Linked DNA regions of Lytechinus pictus. Each later gene encodes a partner of the first gene's protein in a complex. Links are inferred from orthologs where the notes say so. Each region holds a gene or a part of one and is shown in the gene's direction. Other genes may lie near its edges. The genes, in order: gamma-tubulin complex component 6-like, gamma-tubulin complex component 4-like, gamma-tubulin complex component 5-like and gamma-tubulin complex component 3-like.

Region 1 (6,970 bases):
AAGACTAGGCACCTACACTATTTTACACGCAAATCGACGCAAGGCATTACGCAAAGTCCGTCAAGTGTCCAATCTTTTTATTGTATAGACATTGGTATACCGTATTATTGACGTTCGTTAAAGCCTGTACTGCTGGTTCCGTTCCAGGCACGTATATTTTTTTCAATTTTTATTTATTAGTCATCGTTTTAAATTAATTGCAAAAAAGTGTTATCATCGCCAATAATAATCTTGAATTATGTTTTTGAAGGTATTTCATTTATTGGTGCCCATAATTAGTAAATTAATCATGAGAATTGCGCATTCAAAGAATTTAGACACAGTTATAAAATTACCGAGGAGCTGAATCAAGGTTGTGAAATTTATTAGCGCCACCAACGGGCTTCCTTGTATTTCCGTAGAAGAGACAAGCGAAGTCACTTTCCAGGCCGAGGTAAGCGAAATTTGCTCTTTTTGACCGATTATTATATTCAAATTACATTTTTAATTTTTTAATGTATTGCTACTTACCGGAAAGAGCCCTGAGTAGCGAGAAGGAGTTTCGGCAAATATTACTTCAGCAATGAAGCGATGTTTGCCGACTACTTCGAAATCCAGGGTCAAACACGGTCCGGTGTACGAGGTTAGTATATATATATATATATATACTAACCTCGTACTAGTGTGAGTGACTCATAGAGTAGAATTCACTGAGCAAAATACCGAAAATTTCATCAAAATCGAATACCAAATAATGAAGTTATTGAAGTTTAAAGTTTAGCAATATTTTGTGATAACAGTCGTCATGAATATTCATTAGGTGGGCTGATGATGTCACATCTCCACTTTCCGTTTTCTTATGTTATTACACAAAATCAAAATTTTTTCATTATTTCATACTTGTGTGAATAATAATAAATATCTCTCCCTTATAATGAAATAAGTTGCAGCAATAAATATCTAATGCACTAAATCAGTTGTCAATCCAATTTTTCTAGTTCTTGGAGGAAAAAATTTGAATAAACCTAATTTCATATAATAGAATACAAAAGAACAAGTGAGGATGTGACATCATCAGCCCACCTAATGAATATTTATGACGACTGTTTTCACAAAATATTGATAAATTTTAAAATTCAAAATTATTCAATAACTTTGTTATTTTGTTAAACTTGACTCAAAAGGAAAGATGAAACAACTAGATCTAGTTATGAAAACTCTATAACTTGTTCCTCCGGTTCATCACCAAATCAGTAATCTGAGAATCCATAATATATTTATATGATTATTTTGGTGGAAAAACTGTTTATCATGTGAGATTGTTTGCATCATTGAGAATCTGCTCCGATCCTACATGCCTAGCTAGTAGCCTGCCACACAGAGTAGGGAGGCCAGTTCGTTAATAATGTATTGGGTTAGCAAGAAAATCACAGCAGAACTTGCAAAAGTTTATAGTTATCGATTTTATTGTTATCTCTGCTTCGTCATCTGTTGGTTATTTGATGAAAAATTCGTCACTTTCAAATGTTTTAATTATATTTTGTTCAAAATTCTGAAATATCGGGACAAATAGGCATTCCGGGAAGGGTTTTTTCGGGAGCCGGGACAAAGGAGCAAACTATGGGACGATCCCCAGGAAATACTGGACGTCTGGTCACCCTGGACGAGTTGGCAGTAGACGAATTGGTAATTTACCATCATGGGGACACAACAGTGCCTGGTCCTGGCCTGGCTTTGGCCTGGGGCACCCATGGGTGCATTGCATCTCAGTTGTATGATTGGGTGACCATAATTTGCGCACATTAAAAAAATTATCATGAAGTTGATTTTAATCAAAAACTTCTCACAGTTCACACAAAATTAATCAAAATCATGAATACCAGACCAAAGGCAAGATCCCTAAGTCAAATTTGCTTGACGGAATTATAATAAAGTAGAGGTCTAGGTCAAGGACAAGGGTTTTGCTGGTATCGCGATCTCAAAATTCCATGGCGATCAAAAATATGGGAACGAGTGTGTACAACTCTATGGAAAATTTTCCATAGACTTACTGGTTCCCATTTTGGCGAGCAGGTTATATTTATTCAGTGTCATTAATTCTGACGAAATAAATCGCACTTAAAATGTCTTTGATTGAAGACAGGTTATTATGTATAGTGAGATTTATTTAGTGAATGTGATCGATATATATATTTTTAAACTGTGTGAAAGTGGCCTTGAGAGTGGAGAGTGGTCTTGAAGAGCAGGGAAATGCTTGGTACATGTATTAATAAAAAAATATGTAATTCCATATTTGACTAAATAAAACCATGAAGCTAAGTTTCTTGTTTGTCATTGTTGAAAGTCAGTATTGATTTAAAAAGAAATATGCTATTCATTGGTTGGCCTATCAATGCATTTACTGAAAAAAAAAATTATTCTAAAAGCAAAGCTAACTAGAGAAGGATCTTGAGCAGGATTCAAACCCATGCAAGTTGTACATCAGTGCAGCATAGAGCTTTGACCTGACGCTTTTACCACTAGAGCGGGGCTATTGATGTCAACATTTGAGTGTATATGGTTCTATACTTCCGCTCTTTAGCCATTCTGTACCTGTGCTTCACTCTATTTTTTATTCAGGATTCACTCTATTTTTTATTTAGGATTCTTGCTGATTTTAGGATTACTGGGCATATTAGCTATATTATTACCTGAATGAGCCATGTTTGAGACAAGATAAAAGTTCGTACTTTCATACTTGTATTATTTTGGATGTATTATGGTCAAATTCAAGCGTGCATAAATTGACATTTGCGCTAACAATTACATGCATTACTTGCTAGTCTCCACAAGTACTCAACATTTTATTGACTGCAGCATGCATTAACTTTGCTTTAATTGTATAGACGATATACATAAAGTGCTATATGCTGGGAAACAAGTAATAATTAATAATAATTATAATGATATTGACTGGCATTACTATTGGGAGTTACCACATATAATTCCTGCTCATTGCCTTTGGCAATATGACTAGGGATATATGTCCTCCCTAGTCTCCCTAAAGACCAGTCAATATATAAATATAGCCCTCTCATGCCTTTTAATCGTGTTACTTTGCATAATGTCGGGAATAATAGCATTCAATTTGTAATTTAAAGGAGAATGAAACTCTCGGAGCAAGTTAGCTTTTGTGAAAGCAGAAAAATCAAAGAATAAGATCAACAAAAGTTTGAGTAAAATAGGACTAGCAATAGAAGAGTTATGAGCATTTGAATGTCGAGATCACTAATGCTATGGAGATCCTCCCATTGGCAATGCGACCAAGATCTATGATGTCACAGATGAACAACTCTCCCCTTTTGGACACTGAAAATATACCCCAAAACATCTCTTTTTGCTCATTCTAATTATATGACAAACGATTCATCAATGATATAATGTTGTGAAACCTCTGTACTTGTCCTCTCATAAAGAGAACACCTCACCTTGTGATAGACTCTATAAAAGTGAGAATATAAGTGAAATAAGTACTAAAGTAAAGAGGGAGTTGTACGTGTGTGACATCACAGATCGTGGCCGCATTGCCAATCGGAGGATCTACATTACATTAGTGATCTCAATATTCAAATGCTCATAACTTTCTTATTATTCATTCAATCTTCCTCAACAATATGTTTCTTTGATTTTTCTCTTTAATATGGATTCAGCTGGTTTCAAGGGTTTCATTCTCCTTTAAGTATACATGTATCAACGTTATGGTTACTAATTATAGACTTACCGCAAATAGCCATATGCTATTTAAGAACCATGGGATTCAAAAGGGGACAAGAATGCTCTGAAGGGCAGATTGACATGGATGGTAGATAGGGCATTTCGGGAAGAAATTGTAAAGAATGAAGAACTTGTGTCTTGTGACCATTGAGACTATGTTATTGTTCTTGATGAATTTAACTTTCTTGCTACACAATTAATAAGCTATCACATTTTTTTTCATTGTACTTAAAAATACAGGTCTTCTTGTCCTTCGCTTGATTGACTTGTAAATAAACTTAAATACCCTGCAAGAAAATGGTGACCCTTGACCCCACATCCCCCCAGCAACTCTTTAAGGATCTTGTTCGGAGAGCTGTTAGTGACACGTTGGGATCCTCTCGTCCAATCCGCCTGGGAGAAGATGCCGAGGATATCGCCAGGTTTCGCCAGAGATTGCAGACCAGACTGTTCGATTCCCTCTTTGGAAGTCTCCCTGGACCCCTGCAACACAGCTGTTCAGCCAGAAGCAATGCAGCTGGGATTTACTCCCCCAAGGAGCAACTTGTCATCATCATTTTCAAGCTTCGTGTGGAGAGGAGATTCGACGAAGCACAGCAAATGGAGTTGATTTTGGATCGCCTCTCAAAGTTGAGCGGTAAGCAACATCCAACTCTTGCATCCTTGTAGCATAAGTTATGCTTCAGTCACACCTGGGGAACCAACTCCAGACCGACCAAAGATATCATATTATTTCCAGTGACATACCATCTGTCAGCTTTGTTGGTATGACTGTCCCACCAGGATTTCAGAGCTCTGCAGAATCACCACTCATGAGATGAGCCGTTGGAAGGTTTCTGGTTGATCATATGCGCTCTCCTTGCCATTATATTGACAATTACTGCACACTGTTTTGTATACAAATTGCCATAGATTTTTCACATTTTAATCACTCAAGAATAGACAATATTAAATAAAATCTATCATATCAATTTTCACATGAATCCTGAGATATTCTAAAGCATTTGCGAATGTGATCCATGTCATACGTTATATTTCACCTAAAGCTTAATTATTTTCACAAATTTTGTTGCTGTGTGTTCTTTTTCATTAGCAGAAGAAGACAGTGTATTCCTGGAGGGAGTTATTAAATTTCTTCTGGCACTATCAGGAACCAAGCAGTCCTCTCACAAGGCTGTAATTGGTCACCAGAAACCAAATCTTCCTACTGTTGGTTTGACTTCCAAAGAGGTACGTGAAGCCCTGCTTTATACATACATGTAAAGCTCAAGTCTTGTTTTGATAAGTCCTCAAGGAGGGGAACATAAAGAGATACAATTTATTGTAAATTTTAATACATGGTTTGCTATAGGGGCATTTTCACCACAGATGGACACAGAGGCAAAAAAATCAAGTTGATATTCATGTCAAATGCTTTATGTTTTTTAATAAAACAAGACCTGAAGTTTCTGAGACAAAATTTTTTTCCGACTCTGGCAGCCATTTTTTATTTCAAAATGGCTGCCAAAGTATGGATACAAATTAGTGTTGAAAATAGTATATTGATACATATTTTGTTTTGACAGATTTTTAAAGAACAGGTTTGATCATGATGTTTTCGCCTGTGATTTAGCTTGCTATTATAACACTTTTTAAAATCCCTCAGAAAGAAACACCAGTAATTCATTCATCTGATAAAAAAACATTGATGAAGTATGTGATATGGTATGTAATGTCAGTTACCGAAAACATGAACTTTTTTTTCTCATTTCCTGGAAAAGAGGATATATTATATGAAACTTGGTAGATTTCCTCTCTAGGTAACACCCCTCCCTTCTACACCAAAATTAAAGATTACCAATCAACAATGAAGCCATAGGGTACCATTAAATATATGTAATGTCAGTTACCAAGTGGAAAATGTAATGTCAGTTACCGAGATGTAATGTCAGTTACCATGATAAAACGTTGGTTACCAATATTGAAATGCAAATATGTGGTAAATTTTATGGTGAAGAAATATTGTATACTTGTTATTTAAGTCTTTCACTTTAAAAGTCACACCAGAAGGAGCTTGCTATTTACTTTTAAAAGGTATAGTTCACAAGGAATACTATATGAAATTATGAAGGAAGTTGCATTCCCATTGTGCAAAAAAAATTACTATGAAATTGTTTTGTACATGTACTTACCAAGTACCTAATTGTTTGTATCAGACAATTTTTTGTTTGGTTTTCGGGGGGGGGGGGGGGGTAGGGGGTACTTTTTCCAATCTATTGCCTAAATCTGCAACATTTTTTAAGCTTAACATTTTGATGAAGGGGATTTCCAGGGTCCCTTTTTTAGTTTCTAGGATTCTTTTGAGCATTGCCTCGCTAAAAGTACATTCCTGGATTTTTTATACCTGTTAGTAGTGTGGATGTGTGATACAATTTTGTTTTTGGTTTACAAGTATAGATGAAAAGTGAAATTTGACAGTTCTGATCAATGTTGCATGGATCTACTAAAACTGTTTTTTTTTTCCAATTTACAAATAGTTCAGTTTCAGTTTAGAAGCTGGAGTTTATTTTTTGTTGACAGTTTATAAAAGAAATTAGCAAAGAAAATGATTAAACAAATTATGAAGAGAATTGAAATCCGACAGATATGAACAAGCATTGCTTGCACTGACCAGAATAGAAATCAATAAAACTACATGGCTGCATGAGATTCGGGGGAGGGGTACATGTAGCCTAGGGGAGGAGACCCTTATTCATTTTGCCTTTTTGAGGGGAGGGGGAGGTTGGAGAAGGAAAAGGTTTAAAAAGTCAATATAAAACTGATGAATATATTATGGGTGTATAATCAGAAAAATCCATGTGTACAGTCAATGCAATATTAAATTACTATAGAAAAACATGTAGCTGCTATGACCCCACCCCCCCCCCCCCCCCCCCGAGTAAGTAAAACATACATTTCTTATCTTTGGATAATTAAAAATGTGAAGTATTATGAAACTTTTATGATTTTAAAAAGCCTTACATATAAGTACCAAGAAAATTATGTCTTTGAAAATCATGTAGCACTGGTAAATGTTAATGTGTATATTGTCAGTTACCGACAAGTAATGATAAAAATGTTCAGATCAAAGAAAGGAATTAAGAAAAAGAAAAAGTTTTTTCATTGAAATGTTCCTAAAAACTCGGGTATACTTCCACATCAAGCTCACTTTCATGTGAAGCCCTGCACAGAAGATACAATGCAATGATTCCACACATTT
Region 2 (8,010 bases), on another chromosome or scaffold:
CAGGGCTACCAACATACATGTAGCGCGGGGGTAACAAGGGTTTGGACCATGGCGCAAAAATGTACTCGGAGGAAACAAAAAAATGTAAGATCATTGTCAAAATCTATCTCAAAGTTAGATTATCATGATAACTCTTTTTCTTGCTCGCTTTGCTCACTCGGGACTTACATTACATAACTTTTATTTTCCACACGTGACATGTGCTGTGCCCCCTCATATACACCCGTTTAAGTGTTATGCCCCTGCACAGACTCGTCTACATTGATTTCGATATTATAAGCGTCATTATAAAATTTAACAAAAAGAACGCCTTGAATAAAGGCCAAAAAGCCTAGAGACTCGTGAGCGTCATGTGACAACTCGCCCTGGATTTGCATGTACAGGATCCTATGGTGACAACAGCTGTCGCAAGAGTTGGCCAGAAGAGGGGATGAAAACACAAAATTTGGAAAAAAACGGTGAGTACCCATTTTACATTATAAATATAATTAAAATTAGTAAACATGGTAAATTAACAATAACATATAATAAATAAGTTAGACCTAAATTTAGGCCGTAATTTAGAGGAATGGGCTGGAAATTCAAGGCCAAAACGTACTCGTTTGGAGTCGCCGCCTTTTTTAACACTGCTTTGAGTTTGAATAGGGGTGTCGCCTAGAGTGCCCTGGGGCCTGTTGCATGAAATGGTCTTTCGTAGAACCATTCTACGTAAGAACGAGATATCGCTCAACTGTTTCACAAAGCCAATTTGGGCGATACGAAGAATGGTCCTTGGAAAGACACCTCCAGACATGTCCTACGTAGGCATGATCTTCTTTGCACACCGCCTGCCACCGTCGGCATTGAGAGAAAATGCGTTTACGGCAAGCCACACTGACATATCACCTTTAAACATTTTTTGGGTTGCACACTGATGCATTTTATCTGGGATGGCGCCAAGTTATTTTTTATATGGGGGCTAGTTGTCATCAATTGCAGGTCGTCTTTTTGCACGGCAAGACGACCAAAAACAGATGTCATTTTAACTTCTCCAGGCTTTATATGTCCGGGGGTAATGTAGGCCCCAATATTTTTTTTTAATTAATATGTTTTCTTTTATGGTCCGTCCTATCCCCACACCATTTCCATTATTTTTTTTGTTGAAATATCGAAATGGGCGGCACTATCTCTCTGACCCCTCATGCTTTCTCATTACAGATAATTAAACAACAGGAAAACAAATTTCTTTAAAAGAAATTATGTAAGGTAAAAAAACGTGTTTATAACGTTCAGCAAAAAAAAAAACGATACAAAACTAAAATGTTTAACATGGTAAATCATTCATTTATTTTTATTTCATTTTCATTATGATCATTTTTTTTTGCTGAGATTAATTTTAATCAATGAAAATTAATTGTCGGATTTGGGCTTAACTTGAGATGTACTGAAACAGTGAAACAAAACAAAAAATCTGCAGTAACAAAATACCTAATTGAATTTAAGATACAGATTAGGCCTATAGCTTACGAATCCATCACAATCATTACAAATGAAGATAAGCTAGTTCATTAAAGAAAAGATTATGGAAATGAGTCCATACAAAGAGGCGCATTTTCACTTTAGGGTAGGCCCCTTTAGGCCCCTACTAAAATGTTAAAGCAATAATGTATTCTCTACTCCTCAACTTTGAAATGTTGAACATATATATTTTTTATATTCTTAAACCTTATTCTTATATAAGCTTCCATAAATTAAGTGATCAACTTTAAAGATTACCAACGTTTATGATCATTGTAATATTAGCATTATTTCTGTAAATAGTATTTTTTCCATTGCGGATTGCACACATTTTTCTATGTTTTAATTGTTATTGCAAAGCACTACTTTATCCACTTGGACATGTTTGCAGCAATTTTCATATTTTCCTTGTCTTCGGTTACTCATCATGCAACTGAGGTATGTTTATACTCTAAACACTCACATTTGTATTTCTTGCGTTATATCTGACAAATAAAATAAATAAATTAGATTTTTCACATGCAGCCTCTCATATTTTCCTTTTTAGTCTCATACAATCAGACACTGTTGATTTTGTTTACTCCATTCAAACCCTATTTTTACCTCAACAGATAACATATTAACGCATAATTTGCAAAATCATCATTATATATATGTTTTCTATAATAAATCAGTATATTGAACTAATAAAATGTCGAAATTACTTAGTTAAATCAATTTTTATGTCGGACAAGGGTCTCTTTCGTAGAAATATCAATGAAAGGTGTCTCTAAAAGGACACCGTGTTCTAAATAAGTGAAATAATGAAAATTTCGATTTTATCCAGTTATGTTTGTGAATCTTGAAAGTTTTTTCTCTTTTTACCTCATAAAGTACGCTCCATACATCAATTCTACAATCAGTAATAAATAAAACATTATTTGATCCCCTTTTATTGAAATATATGATTTTATGAAAAGTCATCAATCCGAAATAAAAGGTTCAGGTGACGATGAAGACTAAATATTTTTCCGATACTATCGATATCAAACGATGTCGCGGACTTGAAAGACAAAATTGCCTTCGTGAAACAGGGGCATGTTGCATGACGAGATGAGCGATACGTAGGAACGTCCTAGGACCATTCTTCCGAGATAGGAAGATTGGCGACAAATCAGCGCTTTCCGTTTCACGAATGCAATTATTTTGTCTTTCAAGTCCGTGACATCGTTTGATATCGATAGTATCGGAAAAATATTTAGTCTTCATCGTCACCTGAACCTTTTATTTTGGAATGACGGCTTTTCATAAAATCATATATTTCAATAAAAGGGGATCAAATAATGTTTTATTTATTACCGATTGTAGAATTGATGTATGGAGCGTACTTTATGAGGCAAAAACAGAAAAAACTTTCAAGATTCACAAACATAACTGGATAAAATCGAAATTTTCATTATTTTCTTTATTTAGAACACAGTGTCCTTTTAGAGACACCTTTCATTGATATTTAAACGAAACAGACCCTTGTCCGACATAAAAATTGATTTAACTAAGTAATTTCGACATTTTATTAGTTCAATATACTGATTTTTTATTGAATACATATATATAATGATGATTTTGCAAATTATGCGTGAATAAGTTATCTGTTGAGGTAAAAATAGGGTTTGAATGGAGTAAACAAAATCAACAGTGTCTGATTGTATGAGACTAAAATGGAAAATATGAGAGGCTGCCTGTGAAAAATCTAATTTATTTATTTTATTTGTCAGATATAACGCAAGAAATACAAATATGAGTGTTTAGGGTATAAACATACCAGTTGCATGATGAGTAACAGAAGACAAGGAAAATATGCAAACATGTCCAAGTGGATAAAGTAGTGCTTTGCAATAACAATTAAAACATAGAAAACGGTGTGCAATCCGCAATGGAAAAAATACTATTTACAGAAATAATGCTAAATATTACAATGATCATAAACGTTGGTCATCTTTAAAGTCGATCACTTAATTTATGGAAGCTTATATAAGAATATAAGGTTTAAGAATATAAAAAATATATATGTTCAACATTTCAAAGTTGAGGAGTATAGAGACTACATTATTGCTTTAACATTGCATAGGGGCCGAAAAGGGCCTACCCTACGATTTAAAATGCGCCTCTTTGTATGGACTTTCCATAATCTTTTCTTTAATGAACTAGCTTATCTTCATTTGTAATAATTGTGATGGATTCGTAAGCTATAGGCCTAATCTGTATCTTAAATTCAATGAGCTATTTTGTTACTGCAGATTTTTTGTTTTGTTTCACTGTTTCACATCTCCAGTTAGCCCAAATCCGACAATTAATTTTTATTGATTAAAATTAATCTCAGCAAAAAAAAATAATTATAATGAAAATGAAATAAAAATAAATGAATGATTTACCATGTTTAACATTTTAGTTTTGTATCGTGTTTTTTTTGCTAAACGTTATAAACACGTTTTTACCTTAGGCCTACATAATTTATTTTAAAGAAATTTGTTTTCATGTTGTTTAATTATCTATAATGAGAAAGCATGAGGGTCAGAGAGATAGTGCCACCCATTTCGATATTTCAAAAAAAAAATTAATGGAAATGGTGTGGGGATAGGACGGAGAATAAAACTTAAAAGGAAAAATATTTATAAAAATATTTGGGCCTACAACATTACCCCCGGACATAATGCCCGGAGAAGTTAAAATGACATCTGTTTTTGGTCGTCTTGCCGTGCAAACAGACGACCTAAAATTGATGACAACTAGTCCCCCATATAATAACTTGGCGCCAAAAATGTTTAAAGGTGATATGTCAGTGTGGCTTGCCATAAACGCATTTTCTCTCAATGCAGACGGTGGCGGGCGGTGTGCAAAGAAGATCATGCCTACGTAGGACATGTCTGGAGGTGTCTTTCCAAGGACCATTCTTCGTATCGCCCAAATCGGCTTTGTGAAACAGTTGAGCGATATCTCGTTCTTACGTAGAATGGTTCTACGAAAGACCCTTTCATGCAACAGGCCCCAGGCCCCTGGGCCTGGACCCAAATAATTCTAGAATTTCTACCAACAAATTTTATAGCTAATGGGACCAAGGGCGAAGGCTAAGTCACTTACCAAGGCATCTCATAGGAAGTCGATTTTCCAGCTCCCCCCGACTTTCCAGATTCTCCTGACTTGGATTTAGGATCCAAAGAAGTGCTAGATTTTACTTCATCCATTTTAATATGTACTTTAATTTATTTTTAACTAATAAAAACGTTTATGATATTAAGAGATAACAGTAGCTCCACACAAGTTTCGCGCGATTGTGAAATACAGGCTCGTACTAAAAAGTAGATTTTATTAGGTACTTTAAAATAAAATATGAAAATAAATAATAAAAATTAAACTGCAAGACGAAAATAAAATAAATTCTACAACTATAAATTATTTTAAAGGAACAAAGAATCATCATACATCTTTATAAATCAATATAAATTATTCAAAGAACAACTTCTTCTAGTAGGCAATAGACTCTATCTGCAGACAATTCATTAACCTAATGTGAAACGGGCCTGATAAATATTCAATTCCGACTCTGCAGAAGTCTGTATCCATGATTTTTCTCTTCGATTCGATCATCTAGATTGCAACCAAGATGTTACATGACTTACTGATGGCTCTGAATGGATTTCCTGGGGGTATTTTTATGGAACATGGGCACAGTGATATACAGGTAATTAGACTCCAGTCCCATTCATTCCAATTGATGTTAAGCTAATTTCGAATGAATGAATGAATGAATGAACGAACGAATGAATGAATGAAGTACATTTATTTCCAATGATAAATAAAGCATCAATACATTTTAAGAACTTGAACAAAGCAAAAGAGGTAGCAACTAAGAAAGCACAGCTTGTGAATGTGATGAGTGACAAGTGAAAGGTGCTGGTAGGTTTTACTTTTATTTTTTTAGGTGCTTTGCTTCCTGTTTTAGATAGATGATCTAGGCCTAGGCCTACGTCGAAATGAAATTGAAAATGAAAGGTTGGAACTGTCTTGTGGTAAATATTCTTGTTCTTGTTCTTCTCCTTCTTCACTTCCTCATTTTGTTTTTCTTCTCCTCCCCTCTAGTGATTCTTCCCCTTGGGCTTGGCATTGTCTTCGGTCTTCCTCCTTTTTCCTCTTCCTTTAGCTCTTCCTCCTCTTCCTCAGGTGTCCCTCTTCATCTTCCTCCTACAGCCTACTCATCCTTTTTGTCTCCCTCTTCTTCCTCGTCTTCCTGTTCTCTTACTTCTCCGCTGTCTTCTTCTTTCTTTTCTTCTCTGCTCTTAATCTTCCTCCTCTTCCTCAGGTGTCCTCTCTGTCTTCCTCTTCCTTCTCCTCATCCTCTTTGAAAAAGTCTTTGTCTTCTTCTTCCCCTGCTCCCCCCTCCTGCTTGTTCTCACTTTCCTCTTCTTCTCCTCTTCTCTTTTTTTTCTCTTCTTCCTCCTCCTGCTCCTCCCCTTCTATTCCTTCTATTTCTTATTCTTTCTCCTCTTTCTCTATCTACTTCTTCCTCTTCTTCAATTTTTCTTCTTCCATGATTCTTTGAGTTAATCAAATTAAGATTATTGTATTGCAATTTTTGATCCGATTGTAAACTCTATTTAAAATCCTGTGCAATAATATAACGTTACCCACCACCCTTTTATGTGGAAAAGAAGTGAGCAAGTAAGTGATAGTTTGCAGTACTTAGAAACATTGTATTAAGCATTATATAAATGTTGTATTTTATTATTATTCATAAAGTAAGTAATGTTTGCCTGAAATTGGTTTAATTAAGACTGAATAAACTGTGCATTGAGAGTAGTAAAAAATCATTGATTTTTTTTTATTGAAATAAGAAAATGAATAAAAATTGCTTGGTCAGTGGTTTCAATGAGATTGGATTGGACCATAGAGATGAGATACATGGTGGGGCTAATGAAATTCACAGTTTTAATTCAGCCCATCGGCAAAATTTTAACTTTGTCAAAATTCATCATTTGCACAATCCTCTTATTATTTGATGAAATAAGGGCACCAACAGAATAAAATACTTTGAAAAAAGACCTTGCAGTTCATCCTCAATTATGGCAATCTTTGGAAAACATTATTTTTTTGGAACAATAAATTAAAGAAGAAATTAGAAAAACCTTCACACCTTAAATGAAGCCAGCAGTACGTGATTTGTTCATAAACAAACGGTATAATCTAAACTAACATTGTAATCTTGACCAGGAGTGGATCCAGGATATATCAGAGGCAGAGGCCCAAGAAATTTTGGAAAGCATACTTGAATCTCAAGGCATGTATCTGTGTTTATTATCATATTTCTTTATTTTGCCTCTAGGTTGTTCCAGATCTTCCTTTTATCCATGTGAGTGAAGTCAGTGTACTCAACAGAGTTTGTCGTTTAGGGGCTATTTATAAGAATCTCCAGACCTTCATCAAAAGATACAGTGGCAGTCCTTACTTAGGGAAACATAATCAAGGTAAACTTATACAAGACAGAAGGATTTTTTTTCTATTTTGAGGTGCTGTTATGCTTTGACCTACATTGAAATTCAGTTTGTAGACTTGGCACACCCCTCTGTGAGAAAATTATACTTCCTCCCAGTTTGATCTTGTTAGCAATAGAGAACAAAATAGCAATCATTGGATTGTGCATTCAATCTCATAATAATAGTAATAATAATAATAATACTCAATATTTATAACGCGCTTTTCCCACATGGCCCAAAGCGCTCACAATTTCAGTTAACATATTTATACAAACAAAAAAGCAGAATGACATATTAAATGAAGGCAGTTGCCTAGAACAAAAGAGTTTTAAGGGACTTCTTAAAGGACTCGATTGTTGTGGATTGTCTTATTGTGAGAGGGAGTTTGTTCCATTCCATAAAAGCTCCTATTAAGTATTATTAGATACAATAGATCTTTTCAGAAATCAATCTTTCAGTTAGAAAGTTGATTTGTTTCAGGGAATTTTTATTATATTAGATAGGGAAGGGGACCCGAGATAAACAGAAATAGCTGGGCATAAATATTAATAATGAAACCTTTAGAAAATTCTTTAAATAGAAAGATTTCTTTCAACTAACAAGTTGTCCTTTTTGGCAGTGTTTAGTATTAGGTGTATTAGAAAAATAAGGTAAGTAATCTCCTACAATACATCTCATTAGCATTAAATTGGGAACTATATATGCTATTGTTCAGTCGAATCAACACTGAACATTATTGTTCTGCAACTTATATAAAATAATTACTAAAATAAATTCTCTCACAAACAGTCATGAAGTTTGGTTTCCTTTGTTTTAATAAATCATGAATATGAGCAAATAGTAAGATTGGTCACACTTAATGTGAAATGTTCTTGTCTCTTTTCAGAAATTAAGCCAGTGGATAGACTCCCTGATGGATTGTATCTCAGGACATTCTGTTCAGGTTTAGACAAGGTCCTGGAACCATACAGAAAAGCTCTATTAGACCTGGAACAGGATGTAGGTA
Region 3 (7,911 bases), on another chromosome or scaffold:
GGTCTTACACGAGTCCTGACCAATCTTTCAGCGGTCTTCGTGGTCTTCATGGGCTCCAAAAATTTTTGAAACGGTTCAAAACAGTCTTACAACGGTATTACAAGAAAATGGTCTGTCAGTGGTCTTTCAGCGGTCTTTCAGCAGTCTTTCGATGAACTTTCAAAGGTCTTCATAGTCTTTCAATGATCTTTCGGCAGTCTCTCAAGATTTTTGCGGAGATCACTGTAAGACTCATGAGAGATTATTGAAAGACCATTGAAAGACCAGGCAAAGTCCATGGAAAGAATTCTGAAAGATCACTTGTTGCATAAAAGATCTCTGAAAGACCATTGAAAGATCTCTATAGGACTTGTCTAAGACCAGTAAGACAAGAAATATCCATCAGTCTTTCAGAGTTCTTTGAGGGGTCTTTCTGAGCCATTTCACAGAGATGACAAATTTCAGTGATCTTGAAGACCGCTGTAAGACCTCATCAATTGTAAGTCTTTCAGTGGTCTTTCAACGGTCTCCGTTCTGTGGAATGGGGGCCTTTAGACATCACAAATTTTAAGTCTTTCAGTGGTCTTTCAACGGTCTCCGTTCTGTGAGAGTGATTTGACATGAGAAGGTCGTGCATGTAAGTCCAGGAAAAAATAAGAAATACCAACTCAAGTGTTATCATTTTTACCTTTGCCATTTTTACCTCTGCCATTTTTACCTTTGCCATTTTTACCTCTGCCATTTTTACACCGGTATCATGGTGGTGAACAAGACATAAATGGAGAGAATAAAGATAGAGGAAAGAATAAAAGATACAGGAAATAAAAAAACATGGAGGCCGTATAGGGTATAGGCCTAGAACTATATATCACCTTTATTTTTAATGCCACCCAGGATACTAGTACGCACCTATGACTTGGCTCCCATGTCAAAATATTATTATTATTTTATTCGGCACTTAACCAAAAACAAGACAGCGTGTACAATGCAGTACAAAAATACAAATATTTTTTAGACCTTTTCTCAACCAACCAGGTAGCCTGGGTAGGGAATAGGTCAACTTAATGGCCATGGCCCACAGGCCTTCCCTTCCACACCGGATTGGGTGAACAAAGATCATTACATACAATAGAGTTACAAAATGGAATAACATAATAGTATAAAACAGGTAGGTTGCACAAAAAAGGAACTAATTTATGTTTAACATAACCAGGAGGAACATATATTTGATTAAAATAATCGAGCCAGAATTAATAGGGAACAGTTGAAATAAATAACTTTACAACGCATGAGATTAAAGATATAACAAAATCAGAATATTAGGCACCGTTTGGAAAAATGAAGCTTGAAAATGTGCTGTGGATCTTTAGATATATTTTGATTTATCTTTCATTTTATTTTATATACTTCAAAAATACATTTTTTTATTCTTTGTACAGTATAGGCCCATGGAGAATTCCTATGTTTGTGTATGCATGTGCCAAAGTAGGATTAAAAGCGAGCAAAACACGTGTCGGTGATGAGCAATAAAATTAACTTGAATTGAGTTGGCCAAGGATGTCACGTAAATATGAAATAGAGAAGACTATGAAAATAAAAACGGAGGGAGCATGATGGGCGGCGAAGCAGAGGAATATCTTATGTGTTTGTGCCGGGGACGCAACAGTAGATGTCCCCACCCCCCCCCCCCCATAGAACAATTAAAGGATAATCCTCTGCCCCACCGCCCATTCAGGACGGTTATAATCATAAAAGTGACGTCAATTCCATCTTGACGAGAGAGTGAGGGTAGGTTGCGACCCGGGTTGCGATCAAGCCATACACTAAACCCCTCAAAAAAAGTTTGGAAATCTGAGTTTGGCCATTAATTTCTCCAAACTCCCAATTTTTCAAAATGCATATTTGACATCATTCAAAAGATCATTTGATTTTCTTTAAAATGATACCATGCTTGTTATGATCATGCCATCACAAAAAGAGCAGGATTCAAAAGTGTTGGATGAGGTCTGAATTGAAAAGCTGCAAAACGAGCAAAAAAAAGTTTGGAAATCTTAGTTTCTCCCAACTCCCAATTTTACACAATGCATATTTGATATCATTTAAAAGATCATTTAATTCGCTTGAAAATGATAACATGCTTGTAATGATCATGCCATCATGAAAAGAGCAGGATTCAAAAGTGTTGGATGAGGTCTGAATTGAAAAGCTGCAAAACGAGCAGAAATTCTTGTTTGTGTCTAGAAATGAAAATCCATTCAAATCAAGCCCCTGCTTCTTCATTTTTTATGTTTTGTTGTGGTGTATGTAGTGATGGTTCTGTGAGATAACATGGTTTGAGTCGTGGTTTGAAATACCCATGCATGTTTGTTTGTTTGTTTGTTATGTGTTTGCTTGTGCAGAGGTGTGTTTGATTCCATGTTAATGTTGATGATAAGGTACATGAAAACAGTTAAAAGAAACCGCTGAGAAACTCACTCATCACCACGGAAAAAAGAACAGTGACTTTAGTGTGTCATTTTGCAACTTTTGAATTTTGACCTTGCCCCACATTTCAAGGTTGCATGTGAACCATAATCATATCATGTAGGGTATCATTTTAAAGAAAATTGAATGGTCTATTCATTGATATTAATTACACATTGATATTTACTAAAACTGAGGAGGGATTATCGATCAAAGTCAGATTTCCAAACTTTTTTTGAGGAGTTTATATACTTTTGTTTTAATGACACTAGATATATAGGTTACTCGGAATACTAGCCATTTCCTCTCCATTTTCTCCACTTCTTATGATCTTCCTTCTCCTTTTCTACTTTCTCTCCTCACAAGCTATTTTATTTCTTCTATTCATCCTATAAATTAATCTCTGTCACATCTTTCTTTAGTTATCTTTTATTTTTCATTTATCAGCTTTTCTTCTCTTTCATTTTCTTTTATTTGGAGTGTCTTTCTCTCTCCTGTTTCTTCTTCTTTTCCCAATTTCTCCCTTTTTTGATCTCCCCCGCCCCTCAGGCGCGTAGCCAGTGGGCGGTGGGGGCGGTCGCCCCCCCAAAAAAAAAGTCCCAAAAAAGAAAAAAAAAAGAGAAAAAAGAAAGGAGAAAAGGAAAAGCGAAGGGAAGAAAGGTAGCTTTGTGTGTTTTTCTTTTTATTCTTTATTTTTTTCTCAAAAGAGAAACTCTTCAGTGCTCTATTTTAAAATTTATATATATGAATTTTGCTTCCGCGCTGCGCGCGGTTAAATGACAATATTGCAGTTCTCCTTTGTTTCCCTAACCTTTTCTCTAACCCTGTTTTTCGACCTCAGCTATGTGTTTCTTGCCAGTTAAAGTTAAATGTATACATTAGGGCATGGAATAAGAGTAAGGTTAGGCCGAAGTATATTTAAGTTATCTTTTTTTTTCAAATTGATCGCGCAACTTCTGGTCGGGTCGACTTCGGGCGGGTAAAATCTTTATATCAATTTCTGCCGTCACCTCCATATAGGCCACTTCTCCCGCTTTTCAGCACATTACTAAACAACCATAATTTGGGGGCAAACAGGTTCCTAATTTCAAAAGAGGAAGGTACAAAATTCGTGTCATATTAAATAAAAAAGTACAATATTTTTTAAATCAAATTCTATTAAAATTTCCCTGCACATTCATTTCCTGTCCTGTTTTGCGCCCTCAGTTTGAAATTTTGAATGACACTTAAGTTTCTTTATCATTCAAAATTAAGCGCTTCAGGATAAATCAAAGAAATTATACATCATCCTTTTTTATATAATTTCAATAAATCACAGAAGTTTCAACTTTTTGCGCACTATTTTCCTTGTAATGAAGTTCAATAATCTTAGAAAATTAATTGAATGAGAGCCGATGGGGTAGAGATATATGCATTTGATGAAAGGTCCGCACTTTGAAATTTCAGAGTTTCATTGCTCTGCACGGGGAGAAATATCTTCCTGGCCCGGAAAATACCCTTCTTGTTTTGCGAGTTAAAGATCTGCACTGCCGCTAAATTGTTTGTAATCAAATCTGATCTTTCCAAGGGAAGCATTCAGTATTATATAGGGAATACCCTTATCTCGGGACCCTTTTCTTTAGAAAAAAATTGATAAAACGCTTTAGCTTTCGCGCTTCGTGCGGGGTAAATATTATTTTAATTTCCTCCATTTTATCCCTTTTTGTGCATTCACAATCACTTTTAAAAACAAGGTTCAAAATCAAAATATAGTCAACTGAATTGGAGCTGATATAGGTACTAGAGACAGGAGAGACGGCTCCTTTTCATTTTAATTTAAGAAACACCGAAAGCACCCCCTAGGGAGCGCGCTTCGCGCGCTCTGTAAGTGTTGGCCCGCTTCGCGTGCATTTACCGCCCCCTCCAAAATGAAATCCTGGCTACGCGGTTGCGCCCCCTCCACTAAGTTTACTCCTCTTTATCTTTGCATTTCCTTCCCGGCTTTTTCTTTTCCTTTCTCTTCCCCGATTCCACTTCTTTCTATCACTTCTCTTTTTTTAATCTTTTCTATTTTTCCTTTTTTTCTCTCATTTTTTCGGTTGTTTGGTGATTCTGCGTTATGCAATTAGCCTCATCATATGTCGTGTCTATATAAGAGCGTAAGTTTTCTTTGAAGGGGAAGTTTAACCCCAGAGCAAATGGACAGGTGAAGATTGGCCGCCAAAAAATATAATGTCAACGCGTGGAAATTTCTTCTTCTTTTTTAATCTAAAAGCCAGTGAAGGACAAATTTCCATATATATTTCATAGACTGGTAACTTTAAAGTAAATTGAATTGAATTGAAGCATAGAGGTCTTAAATCTCCTTGATTGAAGTAAAGTGAATAGTTCTATAAGCGGGCATGAAGTTGAAATTCTTCACTTCCCAAGTTCCCCTGTATCCAAACCGAAGACAGTCAGGGAATTCCCCCACAGATCGAAGAATGACGTCACTACACGCTCGGAAATGGCGCCTGCATCAAATTTGAGCTGAACTTGAAGTTGTTGAGCTTGTTATAATCATGGAGCAGGAAACAAGGAAACTAGTGAAGAAACTGACACAATTTCAGGTACCGGTCTTTCTGTCACATATTTATGTCGAACGTTGTATGATGTCCAATAAAGCTGAGCTTTGCATGGTTTGTGTTCCCCTTGGCCTGGGGCCGGGCCTGGCTTGGCTGCACCGCTAACGTTAGACGGCTGTCTTCCCCACCGCCCGGTGCCGGCTGGAGCAACCTCCTAGTACCACTCTAGGCGACACCCCAATACTTACCCGTGTTAATAAACTGGGACTCCACTCACGCACATTTGGGCCGCCCTAGCTTGGAACTAAGCATCAATATCAATTTAAAATATATATCTACAAGTTATGTATAACCTATTTACTACTTTGATAATGTTTAATCGGTACTCACCAGTTCTTTTGATGTATTTTCTCAAGAATTCCCAAGGATTTGTCCCAAATCTTGCGACAAACCACGTCGCGGTAGACAGCTGTAGGCCTACATTCTTTTTTATTTATAAATAGAGCGCCCCTTACGATAGTTGTTAACAACGCGGCCAAATCGTTAGGTTTTTTGCACTGTGTCCAAGGCGTTTTTATTTTGTTTTATTTTTTACTTTTTAATAAATATTTTGTTAAATAGCGATTTTTACGTCAAATATTAAATTTATATCACAAAATATTTTTAATTGTAGAGATATATATAATATCATGCAATTATTTATTCTATATATATTTTATAATAAAATTTATAATTGTTGCGGTCTTTAAAAAAGGATAGTCAATAGATCAGGTGATGATAAATAAAGAAAGAAAAGGAAGGGAAAGAAAAAGAAATAAAAAGAAAAAAGAGAAAAGAAAAGAAAAGAAAAAGAAATAAAAAGAAAAAAGAGAAAAGAAAAGAAAAGAAAAAAAGAAAAAGAATACAAAAAAGAGACAAAAGAAGAAAAATAAGAAGAAAAGAAAAAGAAAAAAATAGAAAAAAAAGAAAAGAAAAGAAAAGAGAAAAAGAAAAGAGAAGACAAAAAAGAAAAGAAAAAAAAAAAACATGAACAGGAAAAAGAAGGAAAAAAAAGAAGAAAATAACAGAAAAGAAAATGAAGGAAAAAGAAAAAAAATATTAAAAGAGAGAAGGAAAAAAAATTATAATAAGCTACTGAAAATGAACAAAAGCTGTGGCAAAAATAGTCAATCCTGACTGGTTGCCAACCAAGGAAAGAAGAAGAAGAAGATGACTACACGTATCACGTGATCTGAAAATCAGCTTCATACCGCTTTGATCGCACTCGACGGTGACCGCACTGACTGCCAAGAAAAGATCGAAAAAGGACTCAAATGTAAGTTTCCCTTTATTTTATTAAATCTTAAGTAGAAATAATATGATATTTAATGGGCAATCTTTTAATAAATGATAAACAAACGAGAAAAAAAATTGTATTTAGGGAGTAATATCATACTTGGGTGCAGGAAACAGTAACGGTTCTACTTCTAACCTGTTTTTAACGCATTGTCGCCTATGAGGTCCATACATGTAATGTTTGGACCTCATTGGTACTAGGAGTAGGTATGTGACAAAAAAAATGAAAATCATCAAATATGAATAAATTTGGTATCACTTGAAAGCTCTTAAAAAGACCTTTAAAATGATACCAAGAACTTTAATTTTCATCAAGAAATTATAAAGTTATTCCAGTTTAAGTCGCACATATTGATCCAAATTTGTGGTCATTGTCTGTATGTAAAGTCAATGGAGTACAGAACCGATTTTTGTGACCATTTTGTGACCATTTTGAACCCAAGTCTTCAACAGGCTCTAACTTCTTTGTTTTTTAACCCTATGAAGTAATTTAGGTATCAATGGAAAGGTGAGAGAAGGCTCAATTGATGTGCATCAATTCATCTTGTAATCTTTCTTATTCTGTTTAAAATAATTTCTTCTAATTAATTCTAATTAATTATGCAAACAGAAAATCACAATTACTCGCCTCTTTATTTTGCCAAATGAAGGTGATTATGATAGATAATTCATATAATTTAGTTGGCATCAAAACAGCATCATGTAGATAATTTCCTAATAAATTTGTCTAAAGTATTGTTTTTGTAATTTCTAATGTATTTCTTTGTTTTTCTGATATAAATTACAAGCTCTTTTTCAACTTAGTATTGTAATTTTGTATGTACAGGGGTCCTTTTTTACATATAAAAAATTTATTTTGTACTTTGTATGACCAAATAAAAATATGTGTGTTTTTTTCTGATGTATTTGATTGTTTCACCAATTCCTTATGTATTCTATTGTTTCAACAATTTGTTATAATATGTAGCTTTTGATTTGAGAGACAATGGACATGTGATTACATTTTTTTAGAAGGAATGAGCAGCTGAGTGTAAAATATGTATGTAGAATTGTATGCAATTTATTTCAAGTATCAAGAAGGACGAAAATGAAGTTTTAATATATTCTATCAGTTGTCAATTTCTTAGATTTGTATACATACATTGTATTACAAAGGCCCTGTTTGAGCTCTCTTTTTAAAGAAAAATAAATTCAAATTATTAGTCGAAGCCAAAAGAAAAGGAAAAGAGTGGTCTATTTCTTTCAAAACAAAACAAAAAGCAACCAGTAAAAATATATAACAAAGCTTTAAACAACAAAACAGACATCAAAGCTCCAAACAAGCACTAAAAACAAGAGAAACAAAAGTGACACAAAAACTTGTACCAATCCCATCCCCATTTTCCAATTCAAAACACAACCCCCACCTGCACCCCTAAAAAAAGAAAAGTGAATAAAAAAATAAATAGTACAATTAATAATAAAGAAAACATAAATACAGGAGTTAGACCCATCTGGAAATGAAATATCCTTTCCTCTGAGTTTTCATGTATTTTCTCATAAGAGTGAAAAAATTACAACAAACAAAAATAAACAACATCTAGTTTGTGCA
Region 4 (7,464 bases), on another chromosome or scaffold:
GACATCCCTACTTTGTTGGACACCTTCTAGTCCAGGATAGGCCCCATAGAAAATTGACGAAACCTTGTTTTTTTATATATACAATATTTTTTGATAGTTTCTTGTCAATTCGAGGGTGCTGATTACGAATCTGGATGATGCCACTCGCGTAACCTTGAGCATTTTCCGCAAATTGGCAAAATCCAATATGGCCGCCAAAATATGCAAATTACCCATGAATATCGTAAAATTGTCCGCACATTGGCTGTGAAATGCATGAAATTGTGTGGCAGGAGTGAAATACTCTCTGAAAAAAAAATTTTTGACAAAATATTTATGTTTCTGATATTCAAAATGGGCGCCATAGGCCATTGTATACACTAGCTATTATGTAAAATATGAAAAGGGAAAACTAATAATTTCACAAAAATGAGCACTAGACTGCAAAAATCGCGATGTATGAACGAATTAATATATGCAAATCATCATTACTAACGAAAGATTCCAAGATCAAGCAGCAGGGTCACGACCGGCAGGAGCAACCGGGCCTCAACCAGGAGCAGCAAGAAGCTTTCGAGAGATCGCCACAGTGACATCCCTACTTTGTTGGACACCTTCTAGTCCAGGATAGGCCCCATAGAAAATTGACCAAACCTTGTTTTTTTTATATATACAATATTTTTTGAAGGTTTCTTGTCAATTCGAGGGTGCTGATTACGAATCTGGATGATGCCACTCGTGTAACCTTGAGCATTATCCGCAAATTGGCAAAATCCAATATGGCCGCCAAAATATGCAAATGATGTGTCTCCATTATGATGAAATTATTATGTTGCGGCAATAAATAACTAATGCATTTAATCAGTTGTCAATCCAATTGTTTTAGTTCTTGGTAGAAATTTTTTGAATAAACCTACTTTCATATAATAAAATACAAAAGAACAAGTGGGGATGTGACATCATCAGCCCGCCTAATGAATATTCATAAAGACATGCCTAGACCTGGTTCACTGGAATAATGCAAATCTGTAAAATTCAATAACTTTGTTATTTGTTATCCGATTTTGATGAAATTTTCAGCATTTTGCTTTGTGAATTTTACTCTATTTATTGAGATATGAATATCGCCAGCCTGGATCATCCCTTTAACTCTCTTTTCATGTAATGACAATCCCCTAACCGTCTTTAGAACCCCCCCTCTTCCCCGCTCCCCCTCGATCTCTTTCACAATATCTGTGATTCCCCTTTTTACCCTGCTCTCTCGTTTCTTCTTTTGTCCACTCCCTAAGTTCTCACCCCCTTTCACAATTCCTTCCCCCTTCTCTCCCCCTCTCTTGCTCTCAATATGATTCCCCTTTTCTCCGTTCACTCTCTTTTCCTCTATATGAGCATAAACTCCCCCCACTCTCAATCTCTCTCTCTCTCTCTCTCTGAGAACTATACCTGTCATTTCTTTCCCTCGCCTAACTTGTTTTCCTTCTTTGATTCTCATTGTCTTTTCTCTGGCCCATGCACCTCCCACCCCGCCCCTTTTTCTGTGATTTCTTTCTTCTACCTAATAGGCCCCTACATATGTTTCCTCTTTTGCCCACTCACTAACCATGTAGGCCTACCAATGGGGGGGGGGGGGGGTAATCCCCCTCACACACACCCACATGCACCTCCACACCAGACCGTACGCAGGATTTCTTAAGGGGGGGGGTTCAAGGTGATTGAAATGTTAACAACCTAAAAAAAAAGGTTTTCCAATTTAGGTCGTTTCCAACCACCCAAAAATTCGACAAGCAAAAAAAAAGGTTTTCATATTTTTTTAAGGGGGTTTGAATTCTTAGGGGCTTGGGAGGGGGGTTGGGTATCAAAAATATTAAAGAGGTGTTTGAACCCCTGCACCCCCTGCGTACGCCACTAGGCCTACGATATGGAATCATCCACCCGCATCAACCCCCACCCCCCCCCCCCGGTTTTATAGACGCGCTGTTTACACCACTAGCTGTTTAAAGAATAATCATGTTGGACTTATTCGATGTCGAAAGTATATCAATAAAATTATCATGATCATCACGTATAAAATAGGGAAATGGCCTATTATTGTATAGGCCTTTCACCAAGTTGTACAACTTGACAGATTTGAATTCACGAATGAACTAGTGAAAAAAACATTTGGTCGGTAGTATCTGATTTTTAAAAAAGAAGAAAATGTCACGTCTAAACATATATGAAACATCTTGATACCTCAGTCACCAGGAAATTGTCAAGAAATGAATCATGTAAAATAATGCTTGAATTCCAATATAAGTGTAAAATATAGATCATCAACCCTATCTGGATCGACCAATTCCGGGGACCGGGATAGTCCTGTCCCCCTGTCTCATCACCCGAACACTTGTTTTCTTCTTGATCGAGTTCCATTGCTTTGTGGTAAAAAAAAATGAGTTAAAAGCTCAAAATTAAAAGCTCCATGTAACTTAGGCCTATTTGGGTAGATAGATATATCCGGGATAAATATATGCTTTTTAGCATCCCAATTCACCCGTCTCTCTCCGATCTTAATCAGTCCTTTTTTTCTGTCATCTCTAGCTATAACTGTCTTTCCTCTCCCACTTTCCCGTCTCTTTTTCTCTCATTTTTCATTTTATTTTGTTTTATTTTATCCATCTATTCATATTCACATACGAACCATATGTTTTTTAAAAAAGCACAACATCCTATCCGATACTCAATTTGGTTTCCGGGAAAAGAGTAGCACTTCCCACGCAATACTTTCTTTAGTTCAAACAGTTGCCAAAGCTTATGACAAGTCTTCGAATACGATTGGTTTGTTTTTAGATTTTTCAAAAGCATTCGATACAGTTGATCATAACATTCTCCTTTATAAACTTTCTCATTATGGAATAAGATGAGAACCACTAAAGTGGTTCAAGAATTATCTAACCGGGCGTTCACAGTTCGTTTCACTCGATTGTAATATTTCTGAACGTAAACCTGTCCTTTGTGGAGTTCCACAGGGCAGCATTCTTGGCCCACTTTTGTTCATTACTTATATAAATGATATTGATATGTCATCTAGATTGCTTCAATTTATACTTTTCGCTTATGACTCTAATATATTTCTGTCGCACCCCGACCCAGAGCAATTGACGCAAATATTCAATGACGAACTAAAAAATGTGTCTAATTTGATAACAGCTAACAAACTCTCTCTTAACCTAGAAAAAACTAGCTACATGCTATTTAGCAACAAGATTACGAATGTACCAAAAGATGTAATTTTAAATGATATTGTCATTCATAGAGTGCGATCTACTAAATTTTTGGGACTGATCATAGACGAAAAACTTTCTTGGAAAGCACATATTGATAATATTTGTAAAATCATTGCTCGCAACATCGGTGTCATTAGAAAATTAAGTTACTTCTTACCCCATTTTATTTTGTTATCATTGTATTCAACGTTAATTTTACCTTATTTGAATCACGGAGTTGTTGCGTGGGGTAATGCAGCGAATTCTCAAATTAATAGACTTTTTATTTTACAAAAAAGAGTGATTCGTATTATTAGTCATGCAGAATTCAGGGCACATACAAATATTCTGTTTTTGAGAAATAAAGTCTTGAAGGTTGAAGATTTATATTCTTTTCAACTCGGACAGTTAATGTTCAAGTTTATCAATAAACAATTACCGTTACCTTTTAATAATATGTTTGTAAAAAATAATACAATTCATAAGCATTTCACTCGCCAGGCGAGTTCCTTTCATTTACCTCTGAATAGAACATCGTTTGCACAGAAGACATTTGTTTTTACTGGTCCAAAATTATGGAATTCTTTTTCAAAGGATATTATACAATGTAATTCAATACACAATTTCAAAGGAAAACTTAAAATATATCTTCTGAATTCATATTAGATTATCGTTTTTTCCCAAAGTAATGTAATTCAGAACTTAATATGTAAATGTGTTTATTAATTTCTCTTTGTATATATGTTTAATCGTTTTATGATTTCTGTATACAGTGTATACTGAATCATTTATTTTTATTATTATGTATTTATTTTTATTTTTATTTGTTTATTTTTTAAGATCATTTTATATATATATATATATATATATATATATATATATTGTTTATTTCTTTATTTTATCTTATTTTTTATTCATAAAATTTACTTATAAAAGGGGGCCTTCACCCTACAAGCTCTGCTTTTTAGTTGGTCTCCTTCCCTTTCGATTTCATGGTATTATTGAATTATAAAAAATGATTTAAATGTTATATTTTGTAAATATGTTTATTGAACTATTATTGTAAATGTAAAAAGATTGAAAGAGAAAATAAATGAATTGAATTGAATTGAATTGAATATTTTGAAGGAGGAGGGGGGGGGGGGGCTCGAGGAAAGCCGCCCCATGCCTGCCATGGATGTGTTCACGCGCAGTGCGCACAATTCAATGAGATCGAAGCTAAAAAGCGGTCTGAAAAACTGGCGCCGAGGCGTAGATTTCAACGAGAAGTTTGTACTTGTTAATTGTATCTGATTCTGAAAATAACTTGTAATGTAAGTGTAGCTTTTTTATACCTTTTTTTTTGTTTAGACAGACACTCATATTGATCTGAATTGATTTCATTATTTTTACCTCCTTACCAAGGCAATATCATGATTTCTTCAGGCTTTAGAAAATATAATTATAAAGTTAGATCGACGAGGATCCGATCGCAGAGATTGTACATGACCCACGCATTCACTTTCGTGTCTGTGGCGACATTCAATAGAAGGTAAAAATTAAAATAGGGTTATAAACTGATAAACTTGTTTTACGTTAGATAAGATAAGATTTTATTAATCGGGAGTATGATATGCTATCCACACTGCACTTTTTCCCCTTAACCCCAGGAAATTGGTGGGGCTAAGGGGTGTCTTCTTAGCCCCACCAATTTTCCGGGGTTAAGCTAACTCTAAGTCTAGACTCTAAGGTAGACCAAAAGCTTCAGTCTCTGTTATGTTGGTTGTTCAGCTGAACTCCGTTGGCTTCACTCACCAAATACAGAGACCGAAGTTCTAGCGCGATCTGTACAGGGGACTCAATGGCCATATGTTTATGTACTTAAGATCGGATAAAACGGGGAAGTGAATTTGCGCGACAGCCGAGGTAAGTCACTGTTTTTGTTCCTTTTAACTTGATTTTTCTCCGTTTTGGGGCAATTAATGCCAAGAGGGAATATTAATTTGCATTTTGGTCGCGTTAATTTTCAAAATTTTTTATTCATTAAAGACAAAAATTGAAGAGCCCCGACGGGGGGATTTCGCATTGCAAGTCCCCTAATGGTGGCTGCACGCTAGCGAGCCGTCTGTGTACGAGGAGAATTAAAAAAAAAAAAAATGTTAAAAAACTCCTCGAAACAGACGGCTGGCAGCTGTCTAACTCTAAGGCAGCTTAGCCCACTTCGTTTTCCTTTTAGCAAAGTGGGCTAGCACGGTAAATAGTACGGTACTATCTGGCCCTGCAAAATAGCAGGGTTAGCCGGCTTATTGTGGTGCTAGCACCACAATTGCGGTGCTAAGTAAGAGATGCAGTGTGAAACGAAACAGGGCTAAGGAAACTCTAGACCAAAAGCTTCAGTCTCTGTTATGTTGGTCGTTCAGCTGAACTCCGTTGGCTTCACTCACCAAATACAGAGACCGAAGTTCTAGCGCGATCTGTACAGGGGACTCACTGGCCATATGTTTATGTACTTAAGAGCGGATAAAACGGGGAAGTGAATTTGCGCGACAGCCGAGGTATAAGTCACTGTTTTTGTTCCTTTTAACTTGATTTTTCTCTGTTTTTTGGCAATTAATGCCAAGAGGGAATATTAATTTGCATTTTGGTCGCGTTAATTTTCAAAAATTTTATTCATCAAAGACAAAAATTGAAGAGCCCCGACGGGGGGATTTTGCATTGCAAGTCCCCTAATGGTGGCTGCACGCTAGCGAGCCGTCTGTGTACGAGGAGAAATAAAAAAAATAAAAAAATGTTTAAAAACTCCTCGAAACAGACGGCTGCCAGCTGTCTAAGGAAACTCAAGCACAATACATTAATTTGAAAATCTATAGCATCCCAATCATTGACAAAGCATTCCACGGGGGTTTGATCCCGGGGGGGGGGGGGGGGGGGGGCACTCGACCAAAAAAGTGGTAGGGGTGTGCTGCGGGCGAGGCAAAAAACGGGGGCCTTGGAGCGGGCTTATTGTAAAAAGGAGGGTCCTCGGAACGGGCTTCGGAACTACAAATGTTTGTGAAAACGGGGGTCCTCGGAACGGATCTCTGTAAGTGCGTATGCATCCCTATGGAACGGGCAATCGTGCATGACGCAGCTAGCGCGGCCTCCGCCGGGTGCGCTCGCGCTTAGGCGATGGTCGAAACGCGCTCTACGGCCGCTTTTCACCAAAATTGTAGCAGATCAATGCGACCGGAACGGCGTAACGAAAAATATGCGAAGCTTTGGAGCGGATTTCTTTCTTCTTTTTTCTCGATAAGAAGGAAATGCTATGCCTTGGAGCGGCTTTCTTTGTTCTTTTTCTCAATAAGACAAAAATGCTATTCCTTGGAACGGAAATTTCAGTGTAAAAATGGGGGTCCCCTCCGCGGCACATACCCACTCTGCATTATATACTGAGTGCCCCCCCCCCCGGGGGTTTGATATTCCATGTGGCGTGCCGATGTTAACCCTTTGGATCCGACTGGCTTCTGCCGAAGCGAAATATCAATATTTACTATTTTTGTCTCTAGAAGCATTGTTTTGGCTCAATATTTTTTGAAAATTTCAAATTAGTTATGGACAGCAAAAGGGAAGCTCTTGTGATGTTTTCATGTCAACATAATATGATAGAATCGTGAAAAAGAGACATATACAATTTTATAACTACTTACAAAATGGACAAATTGCAGCACTTTCCGACAATTTGCGCTCTTTTAGAGCTCACTCATTTTAAAAGGTGTATGATTATGAACACATTTTGTATACCAGTAATTATATAATTTATTTGTCGGCTCTGAGATAATTAACTTTTGATATTACTCGAATTATGGTTATTTCTGTTTGCTGATACCCGTTATACTGTACTAATGCATTATTAAAACTGAACCAGCCAAGTTAAAATCCAAATCTCTCTTGTTGCTACGAGAAACTGTCGCCAAATGAAAATGTCTGTTTTGTTGAAACAGCTGAAAAGGCATTGTTGAAACACATGTTTAAAAACAATGGACTCGTCGCCGGCTCGTCAGATGGGGTTAAAGCAGGCTGGAACTTAGCGGATAGATTCCTATCCTTCATAACACATTCCTGATTTAATCCAAGACAAGACAAAACAAGATGACTAGACTCAAACCATTGCTTTTACCGTGTAGCATCATATGTTTGACTTCCTGATTCTCTTTGATTATCTGTCGGTAGGTGATGTAGATAATGGCAAGCTTCACCATGTCTAACCCCGGAGCATCTGATGGGG

The links.
Region 2: the proteins of gamma-tubulin complex component 6-like (region 1) and gamma-tubulin complex component 4-like are in contact, whole or in part, in a cryo-EM structure (PDB 7QJE), measured with the Homo sapiens proteins. The link is inferred for Lytechinus pictus from reciprocal best matches to the Homo sapiens genes TUBGCP6 and TUBGCP4. Residues at the interface, in NP_065194.3 of Homo sapiens: Leu312, Thr313, Ala315, Gly316, Arg317, Ala319, Phe320, Phe323, Leu326, His327, Glu349, Pro390, Glu391, Ser392, Ser395, Leu396, Glu399, Tyr403, Ser455, Leu456, Leu457, Thr458, Gly460, Phe461, Lys464, Lys465, Arg468, Arg471, Tyr472, Glu475; in NP_001273343.1 of Homo sapiens: Met1, Ile2, His3, Glu4, Leu6, Leu7, Ser10, Gly11, Tyr12, Pro13, Gly14, Ser15, Ile16, Gln29, Phe31, Pro32, Phe33, Leu34, His35, Pro36, Glu38, Thr56, Ile59, Glu60, Thr63, Val66, Gln67, Gln68, Ile84, Arg87.
Region 3: the proteins of gamma-tubulin complex component 6-like (region 1) and gamma-tubulin complex component 5-like are in contact, whole or in part, in a cryo-EM structure (PDB 7QJE), measured with the Homo sapiens proteins. The link is inferred for Lytechinus pictus from reciprocal best matches to the Homo sapiens genes TUBGCP6 and TUBGCP5. Residues at the interface, in NP_065194.3 of Homo sapiens: Glu290, Ala291, Ser292, Lys293, Arg294, Arg295, Cys296, Trp297, Glu298, Arg299, Val300, Gly301, Cys302, Pro303, Pro304, His306, Arg307, Glu308, Glu309, Pro310, Tyr311, Leu312, Glu314, Lys322, Arg325, Leu326; in NP_443135.3 of Homo sapiens: Asp211, Asp212, Arg213, Trp215, Leu216, His219, Val220, Val221, His222, Trp225, Ser230, Phe232, Pro233, His234, Leu238, His239, Ser240, Asn241, Leu242, Leu264, Val265, Thr266, Glu267, Thr268, Gln269, Arg272, Val302, Thr303, His304, Leu305.
Region 4: the proteins of gamma-tubulin complex component 6-like (region 1) and gamma-tubulin complex component 3-like are in contact, whole or in part, in a cryo-EM structure (PDB 6X0U), measured with the Homo sapiens proteins. The link is inferred for Lytechinus pictus from reciprocal best matches to the Homo sapiens genes TUBGCP6 and TUBGCP3. Residues at the interface, in NP_065194.3 of Homo sapiens: Pro65, Arg67, Asn68, Leu71, Met72, Ser74, Phe75, Asp76, Arg78, Asp87, Glu90, Asp151; in NP_006313.1 of Homo sapiens: Pro9, Asn10, Val11, Leu13, Gln14, Glu25, Ala26, Ala29, Gln30, Phe32, Gln33, Val36, Arg37, Ile39, Gly40, Ser41, Phe43, Thr129.

Annotation. Positions count from the first base shown.
Region 1 is NC_087247.1:26,636,043-26,643,012, forward strand, and holds the start of gamma-tubulin complex component 6-like, read left to right. Parts: upstream 1-3,964; 5' UTR 3,965-4,029; coding exon 4,030-4,369; intron 4,370-4,825; coding exon 4,826-4,962; intron 4,963-6,970. UniProt on the Homo sapiens protein: Component of the gamma-tubulin ring complex (gTuRC) which mediates microtubule nucleation.
Region 2 is NC_087246.1:1,561,881-1,569,890, reverse strand, and holds the start of gamma-tubulin complex component 4-like, read left to right. Parts: upstream 1-5,003; 5' UTR 5,004-5,137; coding exon 5,138-5,215; intron 5,216-6,853; coding exon 6,854-6,995; intron 6,996-7,890; coding exon 7,891-8,003; intron 8,004-8,010. Other genes in the region: replication factor C subunit 2-like, read right to left, coding at 4,615-4,718. UniProt on the Homo sapiens protein: Component of the gamma-tubulin ring complex (gTuRC) which mediates microtubule nucleation.
Region 3 is NC_087245.1:32,376,124-32,384,034, reverse strand, and holds the start of gamma-tubulin complex component 5-like, read left to right. Parts: upstream 1-4,892; 5' UTR 4,893-4,982; coding exon 4,983-5,030; intron 5,031-7,911. UniProt on the Homo sapiens protein: Component of the gamma-tubulin ring complex (gTuRC) which mediates microtubule nucleation.
Region 4 is NC_087260.1:8,324,434-8,331,897, forward strand, and holds the start of gamma-tubulin complex component 3-like, read left to right. Parts: upstream 1-4,448; 5' UTR 4,449-4,534; intron 4,535-4,686; exon of another isoform or gene 4,687-4,752; intron 4,753-7,409; 5' UTR 7,410-7,421; coding exon 7,422-7,464. UniProt on the Homo sapiens protein: Component of the gamma-tubulin ring complex (gTuRC) which mediates microtubule nucleation.